7 linked regions of the Xenopus tropicalis genome follow. The protein of the gene in region 4 interacts with the protein of the main gene of each other region in a pairwise test. Links are inferred from orthologs where the notes say so. Each region holds a gene or a part of one and is shown on either strand. Other genes may lie near its edges. The genes, in order: pdhb, tcap, uqcrc1, trim63, sqstm1, mybpc3 and gmeb1.

Region 1 (2,168 bases), on a different chromosome or scaffold from region 4:
TCAGAATCCAGTGCATTTATATAAATATTTGTTCTGTGTGGCAGCCAGTTGGGGGATGTAAAACATTGAAGAATTGGAACCATGGGCAGGTTTGGGGTGCAGCCTTCACCCCCCCCCCCCTATAGAGGGCATCATAGGGGCCTTTTGGAGGAGGAGCTCATCTTGACTAAAGCAATCATACAATTTCATTAGCTCAATTGGATAATTAAGGTCCAGGAGAGGAATTAAACGACATTTTCCACCTAAACCCCCTATTAACCCCATCAGAACCAAGGAGAAGAGCAATGATTTTACAACTCCACCCATTGTGTATTAGACATGCAGAGCGAGTAGCCAATCAGATGTTACGTAGCCATATGGCAGTTCTTACTTTGGCTTCCTGTGCAAGAAACATTCAATGCTCCTATTTCTTATTATAATATTATTATTATTATTCCTACCCGGCTCTGTGGGACACCAGTGTGGATATAGGGGGTTCCGGGCACAGGTAATACAAAGACTTTCCAGTGGATAAAATGGTTTATTCCCCCCAGAGAGGAAGAAATGTTGCAGAAATGACATTAAAGGGGAAGTTCACCTATAAATATACTTTAGTATACTATAGAATGTCCTTATCAACTTGCTAACGTCTCTTCATTTTATAGTTATTAAATCATTTTCTTCTGTCACTTTTCAGCTTTCAAATTTGGGTCACTGACCCCGGCAGCCAAAACACTCTATAAGGCTACAATTTTATTGTTACTTTTTATTCCGTTAGCCTGTTCAGGCTTCTCCCACTGATCTTCCAGTCTCTGACTTAAACCGCTGCCTGGTTGCTAGGGCAAAATGGACCATAGCAACTAGAACAAAAACCACAACATACACAAGAATAATTTAAAGGTGAATTGGCCCTTTAACTAGTGACAGGACTGTGGGAAGTATTTTTGGGTTCAGGGACGACTAATAGAGTTGAACAGTCCCTCCTTGTAACTGGTTTCTCCATAGAGGACACAAATGGCACAGATGACCCGCGGGGGAGTGATTAAGGGGACGCTGCCCAGGGAAAGGGTAACTAGGACACAATTCGCACATAAGGCAGCTTCCAAGAACCATTTATAAAGTACAAATGTTGCAGTCGCAGTTCAGTCTGCAGGAAGCAGAATCCTCTCTGTTCATAGGATAACAAGTCGCCCATTAAAATGTAAATGACCCTCCTATAAAGTGTTCCCATGCCGGATCCGCCTACAGGAGATTCAGAGTCTTCTTTACTGCAAATATAATATCCTTCACTTGAGGGACGCAGTTCTCTTCCAGGATCTTGGCGTAAGGCATCGGGACATCAGTGCCAGTCACACGGACCACTGGCGCATCAAGGTAATTGAATGCTGGCCCTGGGAATGGAATGAACCATTGCAACAATTAGAGGGGGGATAGGGACACTGCCATGATGTTTATGGGGCACTTTTTATCTCTAAATGACACTGTTACACAGCAAATAATTCCCTCTGCCATTTAACCTTTTATTCTTCAACCAACAAATGTATTTGTAGCTGTAATATTGGTGTGTAGGCGCCATCTCAGTGCCTTGTGCCCGAGTCTGAGCTTTCAGCCAGCGCTACTCATTAGAACTGCTTTCAGCTAACCTATTGTTTCTCCTACTCCCATGTAACTGGAGGAGTCTCAAGCCGGACTTGGATTTCTTACTATTGAGTGCTATTCCGATACCTACTGGGAGCTGCTATCTTGCTCCCTTCCCATTGTTCTGCTGATCGGCTGATGGGGGCGAGAAGATATTGCTTTCTTTTTTTATGGTGTTGCAGTAAGGCAGTGTTGGAGCACTGTGCTGATTTGGCCAGCACCCATCTCCGGCCTATTTCCCAGGCTTATGTGAAGGCACCTAAGAGGGGGTGAGTCTGTGCAGACATGTTTGTCTGTTGTTTCATAAACAGATCACATTCCAGTAATTTGTATCTGCAAACAAAATTTCTTATCAAACCCCCCAGGAGCCCACCTCCCATTCTATTTACAAGAGGGAAGCCTCAGAATACATAGAATAAAATCATTAGCCAATGAGACAGAGACACAGAGATGCACCGACCTTCCATGATCTTGGCACAGATTTCAGAGCCTACGCCAAACTGTGGCCAACCGCCTTCTACTGTCACCAGATGGTTTGTTTTCACAACGCT
Region 2 (3,972 bases), on a different chromosome or scaffold from region 4:
AACCGATCCTTACCTTGCTTTGACTTAGTTGTCCTTATTTAAAGCAGGTATCTTCAACCGATATCAGTGGCACATATGGCTGATACAATTAATATCTGTTTATACCTATGAAGGAATACTCGTTATTGTTGTATTCTGTATGTGCTCTTATTGTTGGGAAAACATGGCACACACTATTAATATATTATATTTACTTATACTAAGTATATAAATGCACTGGGGTTTGCTTGGAATGGTTGAACTTGATGGACTTTGGTCTTTTCTCAACCCAACTTAACTATGTAACCATTGCATAAGCAATACATTCAATACATATCAATACCAGATCCCTTGAGATCAGGGTACCTTTTGACTATGTATATATATATATATATATATATATATGTGTACACACCTAGCAATGTGTGTGTATTTGTGTGTGTATATTATACTGTGAATATAAATGTAAGCGTCACAATAAAAAAAGGGCTGAAACATTCATTTTATTAGACGTAAGAAAATAACATTAGAACTTAATTAGTACCAAGACAAAGGAGAACATAGGTACAAATATAAATATGTATCTGTTTTCATATAAAACTGTGCAAACATATCTGAGCCCCATTAAGGGCAGAGGGATCTGCAGTCCATCGTTTCACCTAACGGGTTTTTCTTTGTCCCATCACTCAAGGTGTAGAAGCCACCATGGCCCAAGTATGGCAGCTCCCGCCGTGCCATTGGGTAGTTCAGTCACCTGGATTTCATGTAGGAGAGGATGGGGATATACAGTATATTGTAGCCCATTCCATTATGGGTCTGATGCCTACATTGCCCCACCCTGGGGCTTTATACAAACTATGTCCCTCATTATAACTATTCACCTGCAATCTCTCTGCCGAGTGCCCCGGGTAACTTGCTTATTGGCAGTGCTGTAAGCGGCTTTTCTAGATCAGATCAGACTGAAATGCTCAACCGGGTCTCCAACCTTTCTTAAATTGGCCACCAACCATTGCACTATAAACCAGGGCAACAAGGAACCCATTGTTGTCTAGTAAAAAGGGAATTCAGCCATAGTACCCTGTCTCCCATCCTGGGCTTGGGGAATGACTACCTTTTCCCCCCTAACTCTACACTAAGGACAACGAGCTCCTGCACCTACTCATATGCCACCTTCCATTCCATATATCATTCCCAAAATTGTGACCTACAGATAAAAGACATATAAACTTCTGCAAATAATCTCAAGCTGGAATATTCTATCCAGTTTACAAACACAACGAAGAGGTTGCCGCCGGGAACCAATTGGCCGTTTCCCTATAATCCAGCTATACAAAGTAGGGGCCTTCTAGAGCAGACACCATGCAGACACACACTGCACTCTAACCTGGCCATCTATGACTAGCAGATAGGATTGGGTGGTTGCTCTACACCTTTCACTCTCCTCTAGACCCTTCGCCTTCTCCTCTCTTCTACCCTCTCATGACTTCTTGGGACGTAGACCTTGTGAAAGACTGGGCCAGGCCTGGCTTCATCATCTCCATTCTCACTGGTTGCATGACTGGAGGCAACTCTTTAGTGATCTGGGAGAGCGACTTCTTATCCGGACAGACGCCGTCATTGCCTGGGTGGCTAAGCGCCCTCTCGAACTCCATCATGCCGCGCAGCTGGGGCGGGGTGGCTATGCGTTCCATCTTGGTGCTGAGATCTGCTGGCTTGAAGATGGGCAGAGGCAACATTCTCTGGTAGGGCAGCTGGTACTGGGTGAGTCTCTGGCCAAGGCGACCCATTTTCATGACCTGTGCGGGAGACTGTTGGACCAGGAAGCGGGTCTGTCCCTGTTGGCGGAAACTCTCTCTCCTCCACACATTGGCATCACGGGCATTGCAGCTGAAATGGGGAGCAAAAGAAATGATTAATACTCAATACTTTATCATACCCACAAGCAACACTGTAACCCTTTGGGTACCTATTCCTGTGTGCCAAGTCTTTAGGTGTCAGCATTGGGCATGCAGTAATATGACAGATTTGGAAAGGAAGAGTTGGGGGGTAGCAGAACAAACCAGCGAAAGTAACACTTTGGGGGGTAATGTATGAGGCGGTCTCCTCAACCCTTATGACTTGTCCGTGAATCCCCACTCCTGGCTCTCCCTAAGCTGATCAGAAAACCCTGCGCTACACTGATGAGCCCCAAGAAGGGCAAAACCGGTCTGTAGTTGGGAATCTGATCAGCTATTACCCCGGCTTCTGCTTCACCCATTGGGTGAGCTTTAACCTATAGGATAAACCCAAATGGGATTTTTTTTTAGGAGCCTCAAGGAATTTGTTCCCGGGAATCCCTTGGGGGTAATGTAATAAATACAGCAAAGGTTAGTCTGGGTCTAGTAACCCATAGCAACCAATCAGCACAGAGAATTTAATGTGTTTTTAAATACAGAGACATGGGGATGCCAGGGGTATGGCTTCCCTTTAAACTAGGGTGTGTGTTGGTTTAAAGGGCAACTAAAGGCATATAAAATAACAGGTAGAGCACATGTGTGTAACAGTTGTCCTCCCCTCCCCACTGCCAGCTCCCTTGTCCCCCCATTCTCCCCTTCATACCTTTCCTCTGGTCGGCTGAACATGGAGGTGTCTATCCATTCTGCGGAGAAGTGCTCCCTCCTGGCCGTGTTATCCTCTTGCACTCGGCAGCTCAGCTCAGTCACGTTCCCCATGGCCTTGGGGGTCCCAGGCTTTCCCACCATGTTTCTCTAGATTTAGCTCTGTGGCTTCTCCCTCTGATTCCCTGTGTGTGTGGCTCTGCCAGGCAGGGCTCTTCCCCGCATTTATATACCCTTGTCTGTGTCTATTTTCATTCTGTTTTGTAACACTCTATATCTGCCCAAAGAGTCATCCTGCCCCCCCCCCCCAGCGCTGCCCCTCGCACAGTCACAGTGGGGACAGATATGGAACAGAGCTGGGACTCAGGGCTTCCCAGAAAGCTGCTCACTGCCGCCCAGCTTGATACATACCTATAGGCTTTGTCATCAATAACCGGGTTACACGGTCTCAGCGGAAAATGCGAGGGCTCATATGTTACAGTAAGAGCTCCTTATGGCAGCCCATTAGGGACAGAACTGTCATTAGGGAATGCCAGGCTGGGTAAATAGCCTGCTGGGTGGCATAGAAAGAGTGCTGGCAAGCTCAGTACAAGTATAGGACCCATTATCCAGAATGCTCAGGACCAAGGGTATTCTGGATAAGGCGTCTTTCCATAATTTGGATCTCCATACCTACTACAAAATCAATAAAACATTAATTAAACCCAACAGGATTGTTTTGTATCCATTGATACTTGATCTTAGTAAACCCAATAGGGCTGTTCTGCCCCCAATAAGGGGTAATTATATCTTAGTTGGGATCAAGTACAGGTACTGTTTTATTATTACAGAGAAAAGAGAATCATTTAACCATTAAATAAACCCAATAGGGCTGTTCTGCCCCCAATAAGGGGTAATTATATCTTAGTTGGGATCAAGTACAGGTACTGTTTTATTATTACAGAGAAAAGGGAATCATTTAACCATGAAATAAACCCAATAGGGCTGTTCTGCCCCCAATAAGGGGTAATTATATCTTAGTTGGGATCAAGTACAGGTACTGTTTTATTATTACAGAGAAAAGGGAATCATTTAACCATGAAATAAACCCAATAGGGCTGTTCTGCCCCCAATAAGGGGTAATTATATCTTAGTTGGGATCAAGTACAGGTACTGTTTTATTATTACAGAGAAAAGGGAATCATTTAACCATTAAATAAACCCAATAGGGCTGTTCTGCCCCCAATAAGGGGTAATTATATCTTAGTTGGGATCAAGTACAGGTACTGTTTTATTATTACAGAGAAAATGGACATCACTGAAAAAAATGGGAGTTACTTTCTTAAAATGCATTCTATGGGAGATGGCCTTCCTGTAATTTGGAGCCTTCTGGATAACAGGCTTCTGGATAACAGAT
Region 3 (3,097 bases), on a different chromosome or scaffold from region 4:
GCCTATGGGAAGCCACCTAGTGAGCATGCCCAGTTCAGTCTATTGCATTTACTAGACAGAGCATTGCTCTCACAAGGGGTAACTATGTGTATTGTGTCACTATGGGGTCTGGCTCTGTGTGCCCTCACAATAGGGGCAATTACATGGGGAGGGCCAGACAGAGCCGGCTGGCTACACACAATACACACCTAGATGAGATTAACCTACACAATGCATTTGTACAACAGGTAGGAGGGGGGCAGGGGGTACATTTCAGCATAAACAGAAATATCTAATAGTTTCATCCAACTTATACAGTTTGTTATGTCACACTATATATATTATATACTGTATATAGTCTCTATAAGCCACACCCTATCTACTATATATATTTAGTCTCTATAAGCCACACCCTATCTATATATATATATATATATATATATATATATATATATATATATATATTTTTATTTATTATGCAATAAAAACAAAAGCCATGAAGGGAAGACAAACCAGCAGAATTGTGTACATTTAAATTACATTTATTAACTCTTTCTGATGTTGCTGTCGGAAACACAAGGGTTAACTGGTAGCGAATGGGCAGAGATGCGCATCTCCTCTCTGTCGGTTGGTTCAGCCGCTGGGTGGGCGGAGCTAGAAGCGCAGCCAATACATGGCACTGCGGATCCGGTTATAGTCGGGGATCTGCTCAATGGGCCCTGGGGGAGGAAGACAAAGGTGGTTACCGGCAGGGAACCAATCAGAGCGGCTCCGTGAGAGAGGGACACGGGGGGGGGGAGAGACTTACCCACTCCGGCTACGGCGGGGCACTTGTCGTACAGGTACTTGGAGCAGATCTCACTCACTTTCTTAGCACTCACAGCCTGTCAGGGGGGGAAGAGAAGGCAGATTGGCTCAGCCAATGGGAACAGAGCAAAGGGGCCGGCCCCTTACAGTTTGGCTTTATGGAGCCCCACCCAATCTATTTAATATGTAGGAAATAGTAATAAGGGAATATGTCACTAGGGCACATTGGCAGGGTAACAAGGCATTTACTGCCCCACCCTCTATGGGCCCAGATGGGGGGGGTAATGCCCATTGTTACTGCCCCACCCTCTATGGGCCCAGATGGGGGGGGGTAATGCCCATTGTTACTGCCCCACCCTCTATGGGCCCAGATGGGGGGGTAATGCCCATTGTTACTGCCCCACCCTCTATGGGCCCAGATGGGGGGGTAATGCCCATTGTTACTGCCCCACCCTCTATGGGCCCAGATGGGGGGGGTAATGCCCATTGTTACTGCCCCACCCTCTATGGGCCCAGATGGGGGGGGGTAATGCCCATTGTTACTGCCCCACCCTCTATGGGCCCAGATGGGGGGGTAATGCCCATTGCTACTGCCCCACCCTCTATGGGCCCAGATGGGGGGGTAATGCCCATTGTTACTGCCCCACCCTCTATGGGCCCAGATGGGGGGGTAATGCCCATTGTTACTGCCCCACCCTCTATGGGCCCAGATGGGGGGGTAATGCCCATTGCTACTGCCCCACCCTCTATGGGCCCAGATGGGGGGTAATGCCCATTGTTACTGCCCCACCCTCTATGGGCCCAGATGGGGGGGTAATGCCCATTGTTACTGCCCCACCCTCTATGGGCCCAGATGGGGGGGTAATGCCCATTGTTACTGCCCCACCCTCTATGGGCCCAGATGGGGGGGGGTAATGCCCATTGTTACTGCCCCACCCTCTATGGGCCCAGATGGGGGGGTAATGCCCATTTTTACTGCCCCACCCTCTATGGGCCCAGATGGGGGGGTAATGCCCATTGCTACTGCCCCACCCTCTATGGGCCCAGATGGGGGGCAATGCCAGGGGAGTCTGGGTAGGCCATTACTAGGAATTTAGTAGCTAGGGTCTTATGTACCCTAGTAACCAGGCTGAGGTTTGAATGAGAGACGGGTATATGAATAGGGGAGGGGCTGAATAGAAAGATAAGGAATAAAAAGTAACAATAACAATAAAACTGGAGCCTCACAGAGCAATAGGGTTTGGCTGCCGGGGTCAGTGACCCCCATTTGGAAGCTGCAAAGAGGCAGAAGAAGAAGGGAAATAACTCAAACAACTATAAGAAATATAAAATAAAAACCAATTGCAAAGTTGCTAGAAATAGGCCACTGTGTAACTAAAAGTGAACTTAAAGGTGAACAGTCCTTTTAACTCTTTTCCTGCCAAGCACGTATGACATACGTGTTTCAGAAATAAAGCCTCTCTCTGTTGGCTTTTGCCACCAGTGCAGAGAGTCCATCGCACCCCAAACCCCCCAGGCAATGAGCCAAGGGGGCTGGCAAGTCAGTCCTGCAACTTGATTGTCGCAGGACTGACTTTTAACAGCAGACAGAATGGCAGATGGCATGGTGTCTGCTGTTAGAGCTCCTCCCCCAGCCCTGCTGATCCCGCCCACCCGCTGCAGAGACTCCATCATGGGACAATGTTTACAGCCAAGGACTCTCCAGCTCACAAACAAAGTAAGTAACCTTTTTTTTTTTACCTATACACACACACATTTACCCCCACACATTTACAGTACAACACACACACACATACATTTACCCCCACACATTTACAGTACAACACACACACATACATTTACCCCCACACATTTACAGTACAACACACACACACACATACATTTACCCCCACACATTTACAGTACAACACACACACACACATACATTTACCCCCACACATTTACAGTACAACACACACACACATACATTTACCCCCACACATTTACAGTACAACACACACACATTTACAGTACAACACACACACATTTACCAACACACACACATACACACACACACACACACACACATTTACCCCCACATATTTACAGTACAACACACACATTTACAGTACAACACACACACACATACATTTACCCCCACACATTTACAGTACAACACACACACACACATACATTTACCCCCACACATTTACAGTACAACACACACACACACACATACATTTACCCCCACACATTTACAGTACAACACACACACACACACATTTACAGTACAACACACACATTTACCCACACACACACACATTTACCCACA
Region 4 (2,280 bases):
ACACACCAGTTGTAGCAATGCAGGGCAACTGTACATTATATTGTAATTACTTTTATACACTTTCATTTTTTGGTGTTACTGTTCCTTTAAGTGCCACTGCATTTTAAACAGATCTGGCTCTTTTTATGCCAAAAATTTTTGCTGTAAAGGCAACAAAAGAACCTTAGAAATACACGTTATATTTTGTATGACTTTTTTGGCATAAAATATATATTTTTTTAAATATTCTTTATTTTCAAACATATAATATGGGGGATACAGAAGGCAAGAGGGAAGGGGGGTCAAAAAACAAGGGCATAAAATATTTTACTCGTCTTTATAAATAGGCCTTCTATTGTATTTATTCAGGGAAGTTGTCAAGCAGATTAAGCCACAATGCAAACAGTGCCAGCCAATTGGGCAGAATACCCCCTGCATCCAACTTGCAAGAACAGTATATTGCGATGCTGCTCACAGAGTATTAAATGTACCTATGTACCTACCCAGAGTATGTGACACCACAGTTTTAAAAGGTTAATACAGCTTTCAACACAATCAGAGCATAATAGGTCAACACACCCCAAATATAGTGTAAATTAAATCCAGGAAATACAAATTGCCTGTGTCTTATAAATTTATCCTTTAAAAATCCATTTATAGCGGTCTAATTTAGTTTAAACATTTTCTATTTCTTATGTTGTACCTCTCTTATGCTGTGCTAAACCTTTTCTTTTCTGCTGTTTTCCTACAGGAGTCCAAACAGCTTATTAAAAAGTAAGTAACATTCCAGATCCAAAGCATGAAAATCATATGATTGTTACCTACTGCATGAACTGGTGATTCAGCCATATCGAGTTCATAATAAAACAATACCAGTGTGCCTTTTGCTCAGAGAAGCAACTAGTAAAAAAAAATGAAAACATTCAAAGGATCCAGCAGTAAGGAAGGGCTATAGAAAGAAACATGGGGAGGTGACATAAGAGGAAGTTGTAGAATGGCAATTAGTGCAAGGAGTCGTATCAGCAGGTAGCATTTATTTGTCAAATACATGTCTGATGCAAAAGCAAGCATTGCTTTTGATTTGTTGCTATGGGTCATTATACTTGGGCAAATTTTGCCCATTTTTATTTTATTATATTATGTTAGGGATATCTAAGAATGCAGCTGTTCAGAGTGCTGTTCAGCTTATTTAAATGTTAACTCTTGTATTTGCAGGCTAATGGAAGCATCCAAAGGCTGCCAATTGGAGAAGACTGATCATGGATTTGAAAATATGGACCAGTTCACCCTGGATATGGAACATGTCAGCCAGTGTCTGAGAAGCATTGACTTCACTCCAAGTGAGCTGAGAATCATGGTTGGAAAGGATCTTGTTTAATGCAGGATTTGGGGTGACAATAGCATTTGATAATAAGAATATAGTCATCATTGTTTAAAACAAATACAGTCTACAAAGGAATTTTCTTAAAGTAAATCAGTTACAAAAATTATTTCAAGTAATGTAAATTAAATAAAAAAGTAGGACAATTATTTGCTGCTTTCTGTCTTTTTCCAGCTTTCAAATGGGGTTCACTGAAAAAAAGTAAAAAAGAAAAAAAACTATTGCTCTGCGAGGCTGCATTTTTTTTTTGTTATTTCTATCACTATCCATTACATAACTTTCTATTCAGACCCTCACCTATATCTTTATCTTGAAGTCTTAATTTAAGCCACTGCCTGGTTGCTAGGGAAATGGGACAAAAGCAAGCAGATGAAAAATGAAGACCAATTGCAAATTGTCTCAGACAATTGTCACTCATCAAAATATCTGTTCAATCATAGTTAAAGTTTATGTAAAGTTGAACTACCATTACATGCTTTTTATCGAAACCAAAAATAAAGGCACAAAAAAGCAACAGTAAATAAAACACTCACCAAGTAGTAGTAGTATAAATTAAAAAAAATCAAATACTGAAAAAAAATAAAGACAGACTGATTTTGTCATTGGGTTTATTTAACATATCTAGTCAAAAGGTAGATATTTGTCACCATGGAACAAATGTAAAATACACTCTTTCTTTGGTCAGTGATTTTGAGAACCTGTTAGAGGAAACCCATAACTGCATCAAAATAGACTAATGAGAATGCTGTATCAGCCATTTGGGAAGTACTGTACCGCTAAATGTTATTTTTTACAGACTGTGATGAAGATGAGGAAGATGATATAGAGGAATATGAAGAAACTGAAGAAGAAACACTTGAAGGTAAGAACATTTGTCATAGACAAATTTACACATATGTCTCTATAACAAAGGTCATGGT
Region 5 (4,030 bases), on a different chromosome or scaffold from region 4:
TCAACTTCTGAATGCCCATGTTAGCCCTGCCATCCAATTTCATGTGTAAGCAGCTGTTCCAGCTACAGTAGGCAGTGTTGGACTGGGACCCCAGGGGCCCACCAGAAAACCTTGGACCCTAGGCCCACTCTCCAAACTATATTTCCTCCTTTCCTCACCCAACCTCTTTATTCTCCTAGTCTCTTTTATTTACATCTATCCTTCCATTTATTTCTCCTCTTTCTTCCCATTCAGAAATAGCAAATGACCTTGAAGTATGCCAAATGGTCAGGAGAATAAGGGCCCACTGACCCCTCGGCCCACCGGGAGTTTTCCTGGTATCCTGGTGGGCCAGTCCGACACAGTAGGCCTCAGTCTGCTTAGGAACATAAGCTGCAACTGTATTATATTCACCATTAAAGGCATTGGCCCTACATTCTCCTGTCATGTTTGAGTTAAAATTCACCATAACTCAAACTGGGCAAGTGACCCATCTGTGAATAGAGTTGCCATCTGTCCAGCAAAACTTATGCTTGATGTTATCTGTAATGGAGAATGATAAAATAAAATATAGGAAAGCAAAGGTGGCAACCCCAATCTGCAACTGTTCTAGATGTTTCCAAAGCTTGGGCTCCTATATATTGCTGGACTATAACTCCCTGCACGCTTCACCATATAGTCTAGTTTTAAAGCACTCTGGGAGCTGCAGTCTTTCAACATCTGGCGCCATAATTAAGATACAGACACTATGGGGCACATTTACTATTCCATGAATTTGAATCCCGAACGGCAAAAATTCGGATTGGAAACGAAAGTTTCTGAACTTTTTCGTCGCCATCATTGCAAATTTTTCGTACTGACCGATCGTAAACGCCGGGAAAACCTTTCTGACTTTGATCTTTCAGTGCATATCTGCATGGGCTCGATCAGTGCACTTGCACACAAAAGAACATTCCGGTAATGTGACGAAAAGTCATGGAATATACGAAAAAGTCGTGATGGCGCAGAAAAAGTCGCAAAAATACTGATCATAACGAAAAAAAAACGCTTTTGGAGCGTTCCTGGGTTAGTAAATGTGCCCCTATGTGTAGGAAGTTACAATCCCAAAAGTGGAATAAACAGAGAATAGAGTAAGAAATTATATTTAATTATACTTATAAAAACCTTAAATTCACAAAAAGAGGTTATTGTACACTTTTCAGTTAAACTGTACTTTATACTGTTCAGAGGACTGTGAATCTGTCATTTATTATGTAATATTGCCCTGCAGTTGGTAGTCTTTAGTCCCCTCACTGTGTGGAGTTCCCCCTTTGTTTTGCCAGGTCACGGTGACATCACAAGGTTGGTGGGCGTGGCTAGCAGAGTGGAAGAGTCTGGCAAGTTCCAAAGGGCTGATACTAATAGGAATACATTGGACGTAGAGGGTGGACTAAGGAGGAGTGGGGATTTCCAGGCTGGCTGTATAAATAAAGCTGGGACTGCTCTCAGCCGTCAGTCACAGAATAACAAACTTCTGCGCAGTCGTTCTGCTCATTGTTTTGTTCCTAACTGCGACATCGCCGCCTATACGGTGCCCAAGGTGCCACCATGCCAGTCACCGTGAAAGCCTATCTGCTGGGCAAGGATGAGAGTCACAGGGAGATCCGCCGCTTCCAGCTGGAGCTGCCGGCTGCCGGCAAAGAGAAGGCGTCCGTGTCCAGCTGCGAGCTGCTAGCTAACAAGGTGACTGGCGTGTTCCAGGGCCTCAAAGGGGGAGCCTTCCAGATGTTCTACAAAGGTGGGAAGCTCAGTCATTATATACTAATAATTGCTTATATCAAATAATTGTTACATGGGTATATAATTAATAATTACCCGACCTCAAACCTGACCTTCATTCATATTTGCCAGCAGATATTGGCATATATATCCCCTGCACTTTGCTTCCAATTTCAAGGTAATATGAGGCTTGGCATGAGGATAAACCCACCTCCCTAATGGGCAAATAATCTCCTTGGAAGATACCATGTCCAGCAGGGGATGCTGAATGACTGCCAGTTTATCATGTGTAATAATAGTAAGAACCAGTCTCCAGTCTCTGTGTTGCAGAACTACACCCCTCTGTAGCTCATACGCTGGAAGAATGTAGTGAGTTGCAACAGGTTGCCTGTGTCTGGGGTAAATTCTGTACATTATACACTTGTATGTGCAAATAATTGTTCAGCGCACACACAGCCTACCCACAATAGGAACGATCTTCGGGTACAGTCGATGGTAGCAACACAAACTTGTGCTACAGCTACTAATTCTGTTTATATCTCAGTGTGGTTATGGCTTCAGGGTGAATCACAGCATAATATTATTGCCTAGGGCAGAATAAACAGCGCTGAGGCCAAATAATAAGGAAAGTTCAGTGAATGTGGGTAGGGCAATCTGTGCATAAGGCACCTAGCCCACAAGCCACATTGCCCTCACTGGATTGTTGGTAGCCCTAACCCTCGTGTATTGATCTACATGGGTGACTCATTTAATAAATATAAGATGGTTGTTAGCAGATATTAGTACTATAACTAGTACTACAAACTGATTTAGAAAAACAATATGAATATAATGTTTAAATAATGAATAACAGACAGTTTTCTAACCATTTCTTAATAGATGAGTTAGTAATTTTGTCTAGTGATCCGTGGTGTGCCCAGGATTTGGGTGTTGCAGCTCACACAAGCACTGGCATGGGTTATGTACACAACTTAAGTATTTTTCTTATAAAAAAACATGGCTGCGTGCTTTATCACTGCTAAAGGGGAAGGGCCATTGTGTGTTTGTTTTGTTGGTGCTGTCTGGTTATGCAAGGGGAGTGGCAAAGGTTGTCGGTCTAAGGTCTGTGTTATATATTTGTACTTGTCGGCTTGTATTGTATTTTTTGTGATACGTTTGGATGATTGTCAGTAGGTCAGAACTATGCTGATAACAATGTTTCTTGGCTTTTATACATGTGGAAATTTCCACTCTTGCCGGATCTGGTTAACATCTTTCCCGAGCCAGGACCTGATTAATAATAGCTAGAGACTGAAACTGGGGGAAGCAGGTTATTAGGATGAGGGCACTAAAGAGTTATTAAGCAGAATCTGAGCGATATCTAAACCTTACCTTAGCAGATACCATAATAGCTGTCCAGTGTTTAGTCAATGAAATACGTGGTAGATCCATGGCACCTATAATAGAAACAACTCACACAGCATTGAGGCAATCTCCTGTACAGGAAGTATAGTGTGCAACTGTGCAAAGGTTGTAGCTTCCCACGGTCACCAATGTATAGTCTCAGCAGATCAGACTTCATTTTTCAATCTTATCAGAATTCAGCCAGGCTGTGTATTACATTGAAGGAGGACGCCTAGCCTAAAACGAATTTCTCTTGAAATGCTGTATTTTATATACTGCACTTGTTGTAACAGCAGAGGCAACAGGAATTATGCAGGACTCCAGATCAGCTCACCATCTTAGACCTTGTTAAGCCATCTGTTTAGTGTCAGTGACACTGCACTTGCTCTGTGTGCTCTTGGCTGTTTTTGAGAAATTAAGCTTTGCCTGAAATTATCAAACAGAAAATTAAGTTTAACTTTTACAGAAGCTGATGTTTCAGGTTGCACTGGTTTCTAAACTTGTGTGTAATTAATGTGAAGTTCATTTAATTACTAATTAGACTTTCATTGTAACTTTTATATTAAATGTATAGAATGTATATTGTGAATGGGTCCTTATGCTTAGGCAAATGACAGTAGCCCCCCAGAGTATGTGCTGTGAATTAGCAGCAGAGAAGATGGGGAGCTATGGGAGGCATCTTCAGCGGTACAGATCTTCCCTGCTAGATAGTAGCAGGTAGCCTTGGGTTACTAAATAAGGTCAAAACATAATAGGGCTCATTTATCAACACTTGGCAAATTTGCACGTGGGCAGTAGTCCATAGCAACCAATCACTGATTTAGCCAGCCAAAACAGTGAACAGTGAAAGCAAAAATGTAATTGTCATGGGTTACTGTCCATTTGCCCAGTGTTAATAAATGATTCCCAG
Region 6 (4,192 bases), on a different chromosome or scaffold from region 4:
AATGTATTATAAAACAGTATGCTGATCACATTTTATTGACTATGGGAGGGCTTGTAACTTGTCGTGAAGGCATCTCCTTGCCCTCTTTGAAGGAATGATCTCGCCTTGCCTCGTGGCTGAAACATATATATTAGTAGTAGCAGGGAGCAAGGATCGCATATGCTGTAATCCCTATATCCCCATTGACCATACTAGTAAGTGATCTTCTGGACAATTTATAAGAGGACTTTTTGGGAAGAAAATTGCAGTGCTAAATCTCCTCCTCACCATTTCCCAAAGGTCTGTGATCTGTATATAACCAAGTATTTAGGACTTGGCATTTCTGTATCCCCCATTAGAATCTGTCTGTGACAAAGCAGCAATGAGGACAACACGTATGTCACGATGAGATTCATGCAGGGCAGGTGGAACACATACAGACTCACCACCCCCCAGCCTGAAACATAGGCAAGCCAAGAGAGAGTGCTACATGTCAGTTGGGTTTTATTGCAGGACACTAAACACTGAGGCAGGTGTTGGGTTTTGGACAATGGAAGATCCACTTTGCACCAATGTATACACTTTAACCTGTTCAACTACAACTCTAAGAATCGTACATAGATGTTGGTTGCTGCTGGGGTGCTGGGAGTTGTAGTTTAGTAAGAGCTGGACTAAGCTTACCAGTTGGAGAGCTGTCTCCTGTGGGTCACAGGAGAAGCTATCATTATAAATAGGTAACCTCTAATGCTTTAGAGAAGCTTCTTTCAAGGTTGCTAGGTGGCCCCACCAATGCTAGTAGATAAATGAATGAAAAGATACATGAATGTTGATCCTAGATTTTGGTTTAAACCTGCATTTTAACAACAAGCAAACAGCCACAGAACTCCCTAAAATATCTAGGGCCATTTTCCCTAAAAAGACCACCCCTGTCAATCCCCCTCTTTTGTTGTCAGTAAATACTAAAACAACTATGGGATCCCAGGGATCCTCTAGCCCTTGTGGATGTAAGAGATGGGGGGGCTCTAAATTGGGGGATGATGGAATATAAACTGTAAATGGTATAAAGGGTAAGAGGGGTCAATGTGGGTAACCATTAAGTAACCATTAAGACTATTGCACACCCATTGCTTGCACCATGACCTTGATGACATTTGCAATGTAGGACACCCATTCCCCTTCGTAGGGCAGCTGTGAACAAGCATTTTAGCTATACTTAAGCACAGTGGTATGGAAGAATCCAAACAAAGCTCACAGACTCATGGGAAATTGCGCTGGGTCAGCAATAAGGGAATCAGGGCTTTGCTCCTACTTGACTGCCTTTGATGGCGAGTAAGAGTCATCGGCTTTTGCATTTGTTCCTTACAGCTCAGGTCACAAGAGCAATCAATTCCCTATTAGTCCCAGCCAAAAATAAGCAGAGTTCCATCCAATGTTCATCTGAGGCATGGGATGTACAACCATAAAGTAGGTGCTACAAGCCCCCTGCCTGTTTTCTCGGCATTGATGGCATTAAACTGCTTCCCTAACACAAGTAACATGTTCTTCCTGCAACTTCCCTAAACTCGATAGATAGATAGAGATAGATAGATAGATAGATAGATAGATAGATAGATGATAGATAGATAGATAGATAGATAGATAATAGATAGATAGATAGATAGATAGATAGATAGATGCTTTACTGTCCCTTTAAGCAATTCATAATTACAGTAGCTAAGATAAGCTACAGGCCAAGCTGGCATTCATCTAGGTCATATGTCATTCTCACATTGCTGAGTGTCATGCCCCCTCAGTGTGCAGAGCCAGCTGGCATATTCTCGGAAATACAAAACAAAATGCCTGGAAATGATCATTGTCACTCTGTTGAAGTCAATTGTATAACTTTCCGCCATGCCTCTGGCACCTTAATACATGAACTCATAGATGTTGATATATAATAGATAGATAGATGGATAGATAGATATATAGATAATAGATAGATGATAGATAGATAGATAGATAGATAGATAGATAGATGATAGATAGATTCCCCTATATTAAAGAAAATGGACCTCTAACTATGACCCATAATTAAAGTCCTTTTGCCAGATAAATAGACCAATCCAGCTGCCTACTAATCAATAGAAAGGTCTGGCAGTTGATGAAAGACTGAGTTATGGATTGATAGGTAGACTTCTGTTTAATAGGTAAGTAGTTACTGGGGGTACATTGATGACACACATATACTAGCACAGACATGTAAAATGTCCTTCTATCCAGGTATTGTGAACTGAACCCAATATCTAAGGATGATGGCAGTTGTTTATGGCACTGCTTTTCATTGGCCACTAGTCGGACAGCCCTATTTTATTCCATCTAAAGAGATGATGATCCTGTGGTATAGAGACAGGTAGATACAAGATGGATATACTAATGGAAAAAAAACATTCATTTGCATAGATGTGCCCTAGTTAAATGATAAGGAGACTGCTGGGTGTTAGACATAGGGGTAAGTATATGGTCCATTCATATTGTAGGTAGAGCTGTAGATGAAAATTCCTGTGATTACTCAGTACCAGCCACCTCCTTGTAATCTACCAGTTGCCCCTCCACATTGCAGCAATTACACCAGCTCTGCCATCCTGCCCCATGCCCAGCGCATATGATGCCCATACCTAGCACACCTTTACCCCCATCACTTGCCCCATCCTACCTGATTTCTTGACAGGCTCAGGCATCCTAGCTCAGCCTGCTTGGCGGAAGAACCCAAATGCTAACTAGACAATTTTCAGCAGTAGTTCCAGACCAGTACCGGGTTGGAACTGGAATGAAGCTGTGGGATTTTTACAGACCCCCTTAAAGAATGGCAGATAGGGAGAAGCTTTCGGTGCTCCACCCCCACACTCCCTCCTGTTGTCACTCGCTCCTGTCACCTCTCTGACAGCAGACCTCACTTGACAGAATATTTCAGCCGGGATAAATATAGCCCAGCATCCCGGGTCCTGTTGTCTGGCCCCTACTGCTTTTTTACTGCCCCATATAACTGTCTCCCATGCCAGCCATTGTTTTACTGCTTTGCCCTGTCGTTACTGCCCTTCTCATGCCCGGCCTAATTTTTATTCTTTATATGGCCCTTGCCGGTAGCACCCTGCCATGTTCTATTGTAAAACACCACAAGGCCTCCATTTCCCAGACAAAATTTTCCCCACAACAAAAATGGCTGCCCTATAGCCTGTCCAAGTCAGGAAACAGATTAAAGCGGACCTGTCACCCTAAGAAACAATTCCAGATGCTTTTGTATCATATTAGTAGAGCAAAATAAACTTTACTTACACTATATAAATGATTGAATTTCTTTTTCCTTCAGTCTTTTACAATCACAGCCAGCAGGCCGGCGCCATTTTGTGGGCACTGTTATTAAGACGAGCTTTGTTTCACCCCCAAATCTTATGCAATTGCCATCTAGGTGATATCTAGGAAGTGCTGAATGGAAAGTTAAACTTATTGTAATTAAAAATCTGAGCTGTCAATCATAAATTGCCTGCAATATATGATCAACAGCTCAGATTTTTAAATACATTTATAACAGGTATGGATGATTTAATTAAAAAAGAATTTGGGTTTCATGTTTAATTTTGAAAGGACTTTTATTATACAGCTTTGTATGTGTGGGTGACAGGTCCCCCTTAACATGGCTGACTGGAATAGATTCAGTCATCATCTTTATATAATTTCCATACAGTTTTCCTTTACTCCTTTTGATGTCTACACCATTGGTTGCTAGGCAACATGTTTTTCCACAAAGACAAACAACCATGTTTTAACCAACAAGCTTTGCTGGTTACCCCATAGCAACCAAACAAATACTTACTCCTGACTACATTACATTAACCTCAGTCTCGTATATATCTTTCAACTGAGCAAGTAAAAGCCAGATATTTCCTTTATTGAACCATAATTCCCAGCAGCCCCTGACAGCCTCAGAAAATTGTAGGCCAAACATAATGAGAGGGACCTACTGGACTGACATATCTTAATCCCAGCTAATTAGCAACTGGCCTAGTTCCGTCAATACTATTTAGTCCCAAAATTCGCCCTACCTAAAAGTATCTGCTGCTGCTAAAAGTAGCCATTAGTAAAAGTAGTTCCTGCTTCTAAATCAGAAGTCTGGACTTGATTGACAGGTTAACAAGGAACCATAAAAAGTCACCTCAGATTTTAGTGCTGCAGCCAG
Region 7 (4,051 bases), about 1.5 Mb from region 4:
TTACGCCAGATGTAACGGGACACGCACCTTCCAAAAAGTTCAACTTTTGTCTCGTCGGTCCACAAGGTATTTTCCCAAAAGTCTTGGCAATCATTGAGATGTTTTTTAGCAAAATTGAGACAAGCCTTAATGTTCTTTTTGCTTAAAAGTGGTTTGCGCCTTGGAAATCTGCCATGCAGGCCGTTTTTGCCCAGTCTCTTTCTTATGGTGAGTCGTGAACACTGACCTTAATTGAGGCAAGTGAGGCCTGCAGTTCTTTAGATGTTGTCCTGGAGTCTTTTGTGTCCTCTCGGATGAGTTGTCTCTGCGCTCTTGGGGTAATTTTGGTCGGGCGGCCACCCCTGGGAAGGTTCACCACTGTTCCATGTTTTTGCCATTTGTGGATAATGGCTCTCCCTGTGGTTCGCTGGAGTCCCAAAGCTTTAGAAATGGCTTTATAACCTTTACCAGACTGATAGATCTCAATTACTTTTGTTCTCATTTGTTCCTGAATTTCTTTGGATCTTGGCATGATGTCTAGCTTTTGATGTGCTTTTGGTCTACTTCTCTGTGTCAGGTAGCTCCTATTTAAGTGATTTCTTGATTGAAACAGGTGTGGCAGTAATCAGGCCTGGGGGTGACTACAGAAATTGAACTCAGGTGTGATAAACCACAGTTAAGTTATTTTTTAACAAGGGGGGCAATCACTTTTTCACACAGGGCCATGTAGATTTGGAGTTTTTTTCTCCCTTAATAACGTAAACCTTCATTTAAAAACTGCATTTTGTGTTCAATTATGTTATCTTTGACTAATAGTTAACGGTTTTTGATGAGCAGAAACATTTAAGTGTGACAAACATGCAAAAGAATAAGAAATCAGGAAGGGGGCAAATAGTTTTTCACACCACTGTATATGTATATAAACAAAGCCATGACTTGATAAAATTCTACTGTGTTTCAGTGGTAGAAACACTTTTTAAATACCAAATTCAAGTTAATTAACGGAACACATGGCCATTCACTTACATTTGGAAAACATAGCTTAAAGCCAATTGAGATCCCAATTGGCTGATTTAATAAAGTTCAGATTGATGTTCATTTGAAAACGACGGTAGAAATAGTAGAAATATTAGGTTTACTACCTAATATTTCTACTATTTCTACCGTCGTTTTCAAATGAACATCAATCTAAACTTTATTAAATCAGCCAATTGGGATCTCAATTGGCTTTAAGCCAATTGAGATCCGGAGAAATTTGAGAAAGTCTGGGGGTCATGGATAGAATCTGAAGATATGCATTTCTGCCTACTTTGGTGACCCTTCTCAATTTTTCCCCACACACCAGACAAACCAAATACTATATCCCACAAACCCCAATGTGATGATATGAATGTATTTTATAATGTATATTGTTAATGATACTGCAGCATTGGTTAGATATACTTAATGTTAAGTTTACTGTTCTCGTTTTTTATGTAACACTGATTTTTTTAATAAAAAGAAAAGAAATATTAGGCTTTTCCTTGACTTTGTCCTGCAGTTCACCTACCTGTTCCTATTTTTCACATCCATTTTCCATTTTTTCCCTAAAAACATTTGCCTGCTCTGAGGTGGAGTTACATTATTACCTCTAAAGTTGCAGGAAGTTTCCAAGCATTCTATAAAAATGTTGACTGGAAACATTGCAGAGAATGTTTTTGTGGCATCTATATGGAATGCTAGCTTGGGACAGAGTACATTTTGACAAGTTTTTAGCATAGGAAAACATTGGATAGTAAAAAAATTACACACAAAAAATATTTTACTTCAATATGAGAAAAAGTCAAGATTCAGAAATTATACCCTAGATTTTTTTTTATGCGAGACACTGGTGCTAATTTATTAATACTGAGCAAATTAGCACCTGGGCAGTAACCAATGGCAACCAATCAAATGTTTCTTTTACTGTTCTACTTATGCCTATCTGAAAAGAAGCTAAATACTTTTATTGGTTGCTATGGGTTACTGCCTAGATTCAGTAAGCACAAGCCTTTGCAAAATAAAGGCAAACCACTGTTCAACTTCTGAAACCTTGTTATTTACCTTCAAACATCTTTCGCATTGTGGGAGTTTTAAGATAATAATTACAAAGTTACAGGGATTTTTAGAAGTGTATTTATCAAATGGTGAGTTCTAACTTTCACCGATAAATACGCTTCTAAATCCCATAGGTATGAATAGAAAACGGGTGATTTTTATGAATTAACCACTCATTAACTCACATTTTGATAAATCTGCCAACCAAATGAATTGTTTTTGCATCCAAACAAATTTGTTTATGACGGCATTATGTTAGTACAACAAAAAATTAAGAGTAAATACTCATTATCCATCTTTGCTGAAATGATTACTTAGGGACTAGGATTGACCAGTTTGGCAGCTCATCTGCCAATGTATGGGCACCCCCGATGGGCCTATCTGACCAACATCTGGCCTAAAACTGTCCAGATCTCAATGGGGCAGGTTTAATTTTCTGTCGAATTAGGGGACTGCATCGGCTCATTGTTGCGGCCCTCGGTCTGATGGCGCCTTGGTCCTAGGGCCGATATTGCCCACCTTAGGTGGGCTTATTGAAAGAAGAGCTGCTTGAGCAGATCACAATGTGCACGGCCACCTGTACACTTACCCATGAGGTATGGGCTGCAACTGCAGGATCACCTGTGTCTTGGTATCCTCTGGATCTTCCCCCTCAGTGCAGTCACTGGGAATCACAACCACATCCCCCATGGGGACTGTCACCTCAGCATTGGCCATTAGTTACACAGATTGTGCAGTGTTACTCCACAACCTAATTCATCCAAGAAAAAAAAAGAGCAAGTTATATTGCATGGTCTAGTGTATATAAAGATAGCAGCACATATGGACAATGCATTGAGCAGCATTTATTGCCATATAAGCAAACAACAGTGTTTGGTCTATCATATAATTCTGGTGTGGGAGGAAAGCAGGATCTTTTTTGTATGTTTTTAAACATAACCTAAGTAATAATAGTTTTAATTATCTCCAGCACAAAAAAAGTGTGTTGTTTTTCTTTGTTGATTCGTGTCCACCACACCTTTGCACTTGTAGGATTTCTCAGCTGAGCCATGGTAACTTCTACTTATTTTAGGGGAAACCTGTGTGAATTTGCTTTTGTTTCTGACAGCACTACAAAACAATGCAAGAAGGTTAACAATTTGCTACTTGGCAAATAATACTTCATGCCAATGTTATCAATTGGTATGAAAGAAAGTAGGGAAACAAGTCTCTTTTTTTTTCCTTTTAAAGGTGGCAACCCCATCTGATGAAGAGACATAACAATATGGCAGTTATGTGAATATGAGAGGAGTCTCTCATAGATGCACTGCAGATGCACCCCTAGTAGGTCCCCCACTGATCTGCTCATTGTTAAGTGATTATCAGACCTTTTGCAAACTTTAATTTGTTTTAGTTTACCCTATTTGATTGTAAGCCCAGCTTAGGCAAGTACTGATAGGATGTAAATAATAAACAATCTCCATAAACACGTATAACATGCCTGCATCATGCAAATAAAGGAAAATTAAAAAATTATAATTGGCACCATATTCCTTTAAATAGCACCTACCATCCCAATAGGCACATTTTATAGACTTAACCTACTACAGTATAACAGGTAATTATCCATTCTCATAGAGACGCAACTCGACATAAAACAGCTACAACTCGTTTTTAAAACTAACAAACGCCGAACTTTTTAGTTTCAATATATTTATCATTCAAATCTTTGGAAATTCCTAAACAAAGCGTTTACGCTCGCTGGCGAACTTTACAGCAGCTGTACTGCGCAAGCGCACCTTTCCACAATTCAGACACTTCCGTATGGTTAAAGCGGCGCGCATGCGCAAAGAGAATTTAATTTAGTACTCAACCTTTAGGTGTTGAGAGACTGCAACACCCAGCATTCCCCGCTAAGAAGCTTGCAGTACTTTATAGTCTTAAAGAGCTGAAAGGCAATGGCTGCATAGTCAATAAAGAAAAATAATTTATAGTCAGTGAGAGAAAAAGTTGCCGA

Evidence for each region.
Region 1: the proteins of trim63 (region 4) and pdhb interact in a two-hybrid assay, tested with the Homo sapiens proteins (2 studies listed by BioGRID). The link is inferred for Xenopus tropicalis from reciprocal best matches to the Homo sapiens genes TRIM63 and PDHB.
Region 2: the proteins of trim63 (region 4) and tcap interact in a two-hybrid assay, tested with the Homo sapiens proteins (3 studies listed by BioGRID and IntAct). The link is inferred for Xenopus tropicalis from reciprocal best matches to the Homo sapiens genes TRIM63 and TCAP.
Region 3: the proteins of trim63 (region 4) and uqcrc1 interact in a two-hybrid assay, tested with the Homo sapiens proteins (2 studies listed by BioGRID and IntAct). The link is inferred for Xenopus tropicalis from reciprocal best matches to the Homo sapiens genes TRIM63 and UQCRC1.
Region 5: the proteins of trim63 (region 4) and sqstm1 interact in a two-hybrid assay, tested with the Homo sapiens proteins (2 studies listed by BioGRID and IntAct). The link is inferred for Xenopus tropicalis from reciprocal best matches to the Homo sapiens genes TRIM63 and SQSTM1.
Region 6: the proteins of trim63 (region 4) and mybpc3 interact in a two-hybrid assay, tested with the Homo sapiens proteins (2 studies listed by BioGRID and IntAct). The link is inferred for Xenopus tropicalis from reciprocal best matches to the Homo sapiens genes TRIM63 and MYBPC3.
Region 7: the proteins of trim63 (region 4) and gmeb1 interact in a two-hybrid assay, tested with the Homo sapiens proteins (2 studies listed by BioGRID and IntAct). The link is inferred for Xenopus tropicalis from reciprocal best matches to the Homo sapiens genes TRIM63 and GMEB1.

The regions. Positions count from the first base shown.
Region 1 is NC_030680.2:148,523,371-148,525,538, forward strand, and holds the end of pdhb (pyruvate dehydrogenase E1 component subunit beta, mitochondrial), read right to left. Parts: coding exon 2,078-2,168; intron 1,371-2,077; coding exon 1,222-1,370; 3' UTR 501-1,221; downstream 1-500. UniProt on the Homo sapiens protein: The pyruvate dehydrogenase complex catalyzes the overall conversion of pyruvate to acetyl-CoA and CO(2), and thereby links the glycolytic pathway to the tricarboxylic cycle.
Region 2 is NC_030686.2:9,928,860-9,932,831, forward strand, and holds tcap (telethonin), read right to left. Parts: upstream 2,801-3,972; 5' UTR 2,721-2,800; coding exon 2,578-2,720; intron 1,867-2,577; coding exon 1,449-1,866; 3' UTR 462-1,448; downstream 1-461. UniProt on the Homo sapiens protein: Muscle assembly regulating factor. Mediates the antiparallel assembly of titin (TTN) molecules at the sarcomeric Z-disk.
Region 3 is NC_030680.2:153,046,311-153,049,407, forward strand, and holds the end of uqcrc1 (cytochrome b-c1 complex subunit 1, mitochondrial), read right to left. Parts: intron 864-3,097; coding exon 788-863; intron 699-787; coding exon 634-698; 3' UTR 501-633; downstream 1-500. UniProt on the Homo sapiens protein: Component of the ubiquinol-cytochrome c oxidoreductase, a multisubunit transmembrane complex that is part of the mitochondrial electron transport chain which drives oxidative phosphorylation.
Region 4 is NC_030678.2:76,882,553-76,884,832, reverse strand, and holds part of trim63 (E3 ubiquitin-protein ligase TRIM63), read left to right. Parts: intron 1-730; coding exon 731-753; intron 754-1,194; coding exon 1,195-1,319; intron 1,320-2,156; coding exon 2,157-2,222; intron 2,223-2,280. UniProt on the Homo sapiens protein: E3 ubiquitin ligase. Mediates the ubiquitination and subsequent proteasomal degradation of CKM, GMEB1 and HIBADH.
Region 5 is NC_030679.2:22,202,840-22,206,869, reverse strand, and holds the start of sqstm1 (sequestosome-1), read left to right. Parts: upstream 1-1,230; 5' UTR 1,231-1,566; coding exon 1,567-1,756; intron 1,757-3,108; exon of another isoform or gene 3,109-3,546; intron 3,547-4,030. UniProt on the Homo sapiens protein: Molecular adapter required for selective macroautophagy (aggrephagy) by acting as a bridge between polyubiquitinated proteins and autophagosomes.
Region 6 is NC_030680.2:15,840,835-15,845,026, forward strand, and holds the start of mybpc3 (myosin-binding protein C, cardiac-type), read right to left. Parts: upstream 2,801-4,192; 5' UTR 2,697-2,800; coding exon 2,672-2,696; intron 1-2,671. UniProt on the Homo sapiens protein: Thick filament-associated protein located in the crossbridge region of vertebrate striated muscle a bands. In vitro it binds MHC, F-actin and native thin filaments, and modifies the activity of actin-activated myosin ATPase.
Region 7 is NC_030678.2:78,408,554-78,412,604, reverse strand, and holds the start of gmeb1 (glucocorticoid modulatory element-binding protein 1), read right to left. Parts: upstream 2,801-4,051; 5' UTR 2,773-2,800; coding exon 2,645-2,772; intron 1-2,644. UniProt on the Homo sapiens protein: Trans-acting factor that binds to glucocorticoid modulatory elements (GME) present in the TAT (tyrosine aminotransferase) promoter and increases sensitivity to low concentrations of glucocorticoids. Also binds to the transferrin receptor promoter.